Callithrix jacchus: one gene and its partner. The protein of the gene in region 2 purifies or fractionates together with the protein of the main gene of each other region. This does not show direct contact. Links are inferred from orthologs where the notes say so. Each region holds a gene or a part of one and is shown on either strand. Other genes may lie near its edges.

Region 1 (3,915 bases), on a different chromosome or scaffold from region 2:
CATTATTTCTTCAAGTTGGAATCTTTGGGTACATTATCAAATTTTAGCTATTCTGTGTTCATGGGCTGTGTAGGATAGAGGGATAAAACTGAGTGGCTAATAAGAAGATGAAGATAGAAAACTAAGCTTAAAGGACATACACTTCAATATTTCTATATGTACAGAACTTGTAAGAAAAGCAGTTTTGCATACATGAGCAAGCATCACTGAACTAGATGGCACCTTTCAAGAGACTGGTTTACATATTGAGATATGAGAATGAGAACCCTGAAATAAACTGATTCAGAGGAATAACAGAAAACATATAAATTTCTATACATATAAGGTCGCTGAAAACTTCCCATCCTGAATGAAACATTTAATGAAATCCCAAAACGCAACACTATTGCAAATAAGACACTGTCATAAAATTTTGAAATACATACGCTTTTAAAGATAAAAGGCCTGCTCTTCCACCCTCTTCATTTTCCTACAAATTAGGAAAATTTAATCAGTTCTGAAAAAGGAAATGTACATGCGAAAATGGTGAATACTGCTAGAGTTCTGATGTTTTAAACCACAGGCTTGCGATCAAAATAACCTCTTTAATTTTAGATTCTCATGCAGATTAATTTCTTTCTCCAGTTTTTCAAGCACTATTCTGTTTTTTTTTTTTAAAAAAAGGAGGGGTTCAAAGGGAAAGTAATATCCATGCTTTTCCCGATTAAATTGCTCAACCATTAAAAAGGTGAATAAATTAGAAAGCCCTAGAATACTCTACCCCCTCGGTCCGCCCCCCACCACCCTTTTTTATTTCTTGAAAGGGAAAAGCAGTTCTTTTGCCAGGGGATCTTCAAGCCGAAACTCGGCTAGGCACCCCAGGGCTTCTCCCGGATCGCAAAACTGGATTTCTGCGCAGCACCACCTGCAGTTCCTACACGCGTTTTACTTCCTCCACCCCAAATCTGCTTGCTGGAGCTGCATTCTTTCAGAGCCTCTGGCCCCTAATACAAACAAAGTACACTCTAAAGCAGCCAGAAGGATCCAAGCAGCGAAGTCGCGGATCCCCACAGGCAGGAGAGTGCAGGCAGGCAGCGGCGCGAAACCGGGACGGAACGAAGAGACGCCGGAGCGAGCCCGCGGGTGCGCGGCGCGGCTTCCGCCCCGCGCGGCCCCGCCCCCGCGACGCGCCGGGTGGTCACGTGAGGGCCGCGCGCGTCCCCGGCCGCTGCGGGCTCAGAGGCCGGAGAGAAAAAGACTGCGAGGTGTCCGCTGCTGTGGCCAGAGAGGTGGCAGTCGGAGCGAGGCCCTGTCGGGGGAGCAGGGAGAACTCCGGCCACTCCAGGACCCTCACTGGGGGAGAGGAAGCATAGCTCGCGGTGTCACCTTCAGCCGCGACGTACTCCGGGTCGGCCTTGCGCTCGGGGCCTGAGAGGGGCGGCGGCGGGGTCAGGGGCCGGTACGTAGATGGACGCCCTTGGGCTGGCGCGGCCGCGGCTGCCCGCGCAGAGGCGGGATGGGACAGCTCAGCCTTTTCCGCCACCCCAGCCTTGGCTGCGGTCGCAGGCTAGACGGCCGTGACAGCCCCTGTGCTGCCCGAGGGCGCCGCAGACCCTGCCCTGGGTGACGGCCTGAGCTGGTCTCGGTCGGGGTGCGAGGGGCGGAGCAGCGGCCATTACTGCGCAGCCTCTTCCGCCGGAGCCCGCGTCGGTGCCTCGGGTAGCAGGCGGGTCCCTCTCCTCCCCCTGGGCCGTGGTGTCAGGCCTCTACGCGGGGACCTTCTGGCCTCGAGGTGTAGGGGCGGCGATGGTTTTTTGGCAGTAGCCTGCTCCCTGTTTCCCGTGTGGGGTCAGACACTTTGGGCCTTGGGTCAGATCGAAGCCAGGGCGTACAGTCTGCATTTTGTCTTTTCCCGGAGTGTCTCTGGCTGCTGCTTTCTCTGCTCTTTCTCTTCCTCCTTTTTCTCCTCCTGCTCAGTGTCTCGGTCTTGCCTAATACGAAGAGAGCATTCCTGCACCTTGTCCTAGTGAAGCCCCGCATTGCATATTCTTAGCTGTTTTGACGGCTGTTAAAGCATCGGAACAATTAAGAGGTCTCAGAATGTCCCTTGAGCCTCCAGACCCTCTGTACATCTTAAAAGCCGAGGCTGTTGCTTTGTTCTGGTTGTTGGGTGGGGAGTTCTCTTCCTACCCTCCATCCAGTCTGAAGGAGTGCGGGTCTTCCATTGTTGTCGCTATTTATTTTTCAAAGGCTTCTAAAGAATGTAAAATTATTTTTAAGAATGTGGAGAGGGAACCGTCCTCTCCACAGGACTGTAAGTTTACACACACATCCTGGCAACAAGAATCTTTTCTCGTTCATCATTTTGGTATACGTTTTAATTTAAGTGCCGTTTTAGTGAGCACTTATTTCTCAAGTTTTGAACATTTTAAGTGATATTTTTGTAATATTGAAACAATGTACAACTGAGGAGAGAAGAAAGCCAAAAGATGATGGGGAACGCTTTGTTCTTTGTATGATTGACATTTCAGGTGCTGGGCACATCACCCCCACCCCGTGTGTGTACTTTTCAAATGGGATGTGAACGTATAATATTGGCATTCAATGCAGTATATAATTATAAATCTGGAAGACTTAGGACATTTTAGTCAGTGAATCTATATTTAGACTTTTAAGACATGGCACGTAAGGACACATGAAGAAAATATCCCACACAAATAACAGGATTTGTGATTGTGCCTTTGCTGTTTTATGACTAGCAAATACTGTTTTTGTGGACTGTCTTGGTGCCCTAAAAACACATGAAAATAGGTCAAGTAAATCTCATTTTAAAGAGAAAACTGGAAGAGTGAATGCCACTCTAAAAATAGATTTTGGATGTGTTTGTTTTGGTGCCTTGTATATTTTAAAGTGGAGGATGTTGTTCAGCCCAATCTTTCATTTACAATTTGTGTCTCAAATGGGCCAGTGTATGCTGTGGGCAGAATGGAAATACATTTAGTTTTTCTTTTCTTCGATGGTTGTTCAGAACTTGGTAGAATTATAATCATCAGGAAAACTTTGTCCAAATAGCTGGTCTTTAGACAAGAGGAAGAAAAAACAATTAACTGTTTTGTAAAGGCGATGTCCACTTGCAAAGTGTTTTGTTTCAGTCTCCACCAACTTACATTGTCAGAAGAAAGGAACAGACATTTTTTTTTAAAAGGATCCAAAACGATATTTTGAGTTAGAAGAAAAGGATATTAAATTTTCTGTTTTCACAATATCTATCTGTTTAAAGAATATTATTTTATGTGCTAGCCATATACTAGCATGAAACGTCTAACAGCACTGTCAGTTGGGAATTCGAATGTGTATTTTTCTTCGGTGTTAGTAATAAAAGGTACTGAGCCTTTTCCATTCTCTTACCTGGTTCCCTTGTGCCTGAGGAGTCTCAATTTGTGAAAACAACAGGCTGGATCGGGAACAATCTTTTTGGGTATAGAAACCAATTTATTTAACACTTGGCTACAACCACCTGTGCTTACTTATGAACTATCTTTAGTTTTCATGGCTTATTACCTTTTGGGTTAATTTAAATCCAAAATGGTTGTTAACTGACTGCTAATTAAAGCATTTAGAACGTAAAATATAAAGTAGGACGAGATAACAAAACACTGGGGGTTATGACTTGACCAAAGTCACACAGATAATTTGCCAAAGAGCCTTTCTTATTTATGAAATGGTTGCTGGCTAAGAAACATCTGTGTTTGATATTATTAAAAGATTTGTTCACTTTTATATCTCATGTTTTGAAATAAAATGCAAAGCCCACTTTTTTGTTGTTGTTTTGAGAAAAATTGAAGGGTTTAAAGCGCTAGTATAAAGATTGTGAGGTCAATAAGTAGATTGCCACATAGTAACGTTTTTAAAGGGAAATATTCTTTAAAGTATCAG
Region 2 (3,915 bases):
CAAAATTGAAGAGAGTCAGGGCTTTACTCTGGATTCTGCTTTGGCTTAAGGGAATGTTGTGGCTGGTTTTATCTTCTATCCAGACCACTCAAACGTTCTTCATATCGGCAGTAAGGCTGTTTCACTTTCTTATCCTTTGTGTGTTCACTGGAATAGCACTTTTAATTTTCTTTAAAAAATTTTTTCCTTTGCATTCACAACTTGGCTGTTTGGTGCAAGGGGGCCTATCTCAGCTTTCAACATGCCTTCTGCACTAAGCTGAATAATTTCTAGCTTTTGATTTAAAGTGAGAGATATGCAACTTTCCCTTTCACTTGAATACCTAGAAGCCATTGTAGAGTTATTACCTGACCTAATTTCAATATTGTTGTGTTTCAGGGAACAGAAGACCAAAGGAGAGGGAGATGGCAGAATAGCCTGTCGGTGGGGCAGTCAGAGCACACACAACATTGACTGATTGATTGCTGTCTTCTATGGGTGTGGTTTGGGGTGCCCCAGAACAATTGCAATAGTGTTTTCAAAGATCACTGATCATAGATCACCATAGCAGATTTATGGAAAGAAAAATGATAAATGCAATCATATTGGTAGTGTTCTAGTCCTTAGGTGCGTTCGTGCATATTCACTTTATTGATATCTACCATAACTTCAATTCCATATTTATAAAAATGCTCAAAAAAGTGTACATCCTCTTTTAGCACTGTAGTGAGTCAACACTCCCCAACAAAAACTGGATTTCCTGAAAAACAGGTTAAGGCGGGGGGGGGGGGGGGGCGGTATGTTTTTCAGAATGCCAAAGGTCAACCTGTATCATCTTCTGTAAGTAAAATGTATGTATATGCATAGTTTCCGTTTTTTAAGACAAGGGAGTGTAATGGGGAATCAGCGTATAAAACTACCCCACTACCTTAATCATGAAAATCAATTACGTGCTTTTCTTTGATTTGTTGGCCAAAGAAAAAAATTACAACTCAGAAAACTTTCTTGGAGATGCATATGCCCAGTGTATCCAAACTTCAGGCTTGTCGGGTACAATACTGATTTACATAAAGTTCCTCTAATCAAACCTGAGCTAATAACTTACTAAGGAAAGAGTAATTGATCAGAGCCATCCCCCCAACTGGAGTCAACTTTCATATATGTTCTGATTTCCTTTATTTTGGGGGCAATTCATCCAAACTTCTAATTAAATGGCAACTCGTTCACTTTTGAGAAATGTTTCACAAGAAACAACAACAACAAAGCAGTTGAGGAGGAAAGAAAAGAGACACAGTAAAGAAAAAAAAATGGATGTAGAAGCTGAAAATACGTACAATTTACTTCCAAAAGAATATGCAAGATGGAGCAAAACTTTCAAGGGCTCTTTTTCAGTATAATGGTAGTGAGGAAGTTCAGCTTGAAAAGCCCAGGGCTTAAAAAAATAAACAATATGCAGGACCGTTCAGCTTCAGCAGAACCCACCGCAAAGATGGCGATGGGACGAAGCCCCTTCTGCGAAGCCCGTCACTACATATTTCCCACAAACCCTTCCGCGCAGCCCAGCTCGCGGAAACCTGCACGGCCGATTCCCGGTTACTGCGCACGCGCGGGACAACGTCACGTGCTCTCCCAGGGCTCGGCGGAGCTGGCAGGAGGGACCTTGCCACCTTCCGCGGCCGCGTCGCTTCAGGGCTCGGCCGGCGGATTCGCGCTGCCTCCGCAGCTGCAGGGCAGCTGGGGGAAGGGAGCCGAGCTAAGGGCGCGCGTCGGCGCGGCCATGGGACTGCGCCGGATCCGGTGACAGCAGGGAGCCAACCGGCCCGGGCCCTGAGCGCCTCTCCTCCGGGGGGCCTCGCCCTCCTGCTCGTGGGGCCGGGGCTCCTACTGCCCTTGCTGGCGCTGCTGCTGGCGGCGGCGGCGGCCAGGATCATGTCGGGCCGCCGCTGCGCGGGCGGGGGAGCGGCCTGCGCGAGTGCGGCGGCCGAGGCAATGGAGCCGGCTGCCCGAGAGCTATTCGAGGCGTGCCGCAATGGGGATGTGGAGCGAGTCAAGAGGCTGGTGACGCCGGAGAAGGTGAACAGCCGCGACACGGCGGGCAGGAAATCCACCCCACTGCACTTCGCCGCAGGTAACCCGGGCCAGCGCCCCCTCGCCTCGCTCTAGACCCCACCTGCGCATCCGGGGCTCGTAGGCCTGAAACCAGTGCTCCTCCACTCCTCGACCTGTCCCCTAAGGACTGTGGTCCTGGTGATCTCCCTCTCTTCCAGTGGGGACTGGGGAGATTGGGGGGTTGGGTGAGCGTGCCACACTCACTGGAAGTTTTTGGTTTGTTTTATTTTGTTTTTGCCGAGGGTGGAGGGTGGTTTGGGGTTTTGGCTTTGTTTTGTTGCTACAATACCTGTACCAACTTCCGGTCTTGTTACCCTAGAAGGCGTCTACACACAAGAAAGAGTAGGGGACTTTAGTAAATAGACCTATGATTTAAACGATCAGTTACCTCCAAAATTTTTCATTCTGGCAAGTTCCATTTGGATTAAGGTCTTGAAGGACTTTGTAAAATGCAAGGATGTAATTTCGGAGGAGTAGTTTAATAGGCCATTGACACATTAGCGTTAATTGATTTATCAGAATAGCCAATCAGCAAGTTTCTGGAGTGACTACAACTGGAAATAGGCAAGTTTGGGAGAACTGAAATCTGACTAGGCTGGGTGCGGGAAGTCTTTGACACACACACACAAGTTGAGGTGGAAAGTAGTAGTATAGTAGAAAAGATGGTGCAAGTACTTTAGCTTGGATCTAGAATATAAGCTGAAACTAACCTTGCTTCATTTTGAGAATTAGATCGTTTGAATTACTTTCTTTTAATATTTATTAGGTTCACTTTATGATGTAAGCATATTAAATTTAGTCGAAGAATTTAAAAGAACCAGAGATGGGATAGTCAGCTTATTCCCATAAAGCATACATATTTTTCACTTGTAGAAAAGATCATGACAGTTTCTAACTTCAGGTGAGCCATGTGTGATTGAAAATCGGAGTACCTCCTCTTACCTCCGACCATCCTGGTTTTTTGTTTTGTGTATTTCATGATTGTTAAAAACAATTTTTTTGAAAAAGCAGGGAATACCTTTTAAAGTGTTTCTGTTCTTTTGGGGCTAGATTGATGAAGAGAAAAGGAGCAGTGAGGAAGATTTCCTCTTTCACAAACATTACTTTTACACTTTCTACCAATTGGAGTTTTGTTCGGTTTACCCTGTTCCGGGTTTTAAATGTAAACACTACCAGGAGGTATGCTTTTTTGATCAATTGCATCTTTATTGGAATTTCTACTGGGGAGTCTTTTTAAGAAAAGAAAGTCTAGGGAACCTAGTCGGAGAACTAGAAACAGTTTCTGGGCAATAGAAAGAGAAGGAAGAATACTTAAGTCAAATCACACCTAGTTAGCCGAAATTTTACCCAAAATCTTGATGGTAAGTGCTGCTGTTCTTCAGCCAATTCAGATTGTCCTGTTTGACCATGTAGTTAGTCAACATTTAAACAACTGATTTGGCAAACTATCACCACCAACTGATACATAAGCCAAAGGGTAGGGTTACTTAAAGTCTGTTCATTTGATCTGTGGGATAAAAATAGCCAAGAAAGATCTTAGTTGCTACCTTTCAAGAATTTGGTATATTAATGAGTTCATATCTGAAAATAGTAATATTTAGAGGTGTAAGGTTATGGGTATTAGCTCAGTGACCTTGTTCCTTCTCTAACTTCCTACCCTCAGTTCTGTTCCAACATTTCAGAGCATTTTTTTACATAGATTTCATTTTGTTTGTTCAAGTTGAAATGGAAGACTTAATATTTTGGAAACCACCCACCCCTCACAACTTACCCAAATTATCAGGTGTAGGTTATAAGATTAATAGTTACAGGTATGAAAGGGGAATA

The links.
Region 1: the proteins of TNKS2 (region 2) and RNF146 purify together in Homo sapiens (co-immunoprecipitation; 3 studies listed by BioGRID and IntAct, with this or other methods). This does not show direct contact. The link is inferred for Callithrix jacchus from reciprocal best matches to the Homo sapiens genes TNKS2 and RNF146.

What each region holds. Positions count from the first base shown.
Region 1 is NC_133505.1:133,838,896-133,842,810, forward strand, and holds the start of RNF146 (E3 ubiquitin-protein ligase RNF146), read left to right. Parts: upstream 1-1,206; 5' UTR 1,207-1,438; intron 1,439-3,915. UniProt on the Homo sapiens protein: E3 ubiquitin-protein ligase that specifically binds poly-ADP-ribosylated (PARsylated) proteins and mediates their ubiquitination and subsequent degradation. May regulate many important biological processes, such as cell survival and DNA damage response.
Region 2 is NC_133513.1:84,573,544-84,577,458, forward strand, and holds the start of TNKS2 (poly [ADP-ribose] polymerase tankyrase-2), read left to right. Parts: upstream 1-1,600; 5' UTR 1,601-1,908; coding exon 1,909-2,107; intron 2,108-3,915. UniProt on the Homo sapiens protein: Poly-ADP-ribosyltransferase involved in various processes such as Wnt signaling pathway, telomere length and vesicle trafficking.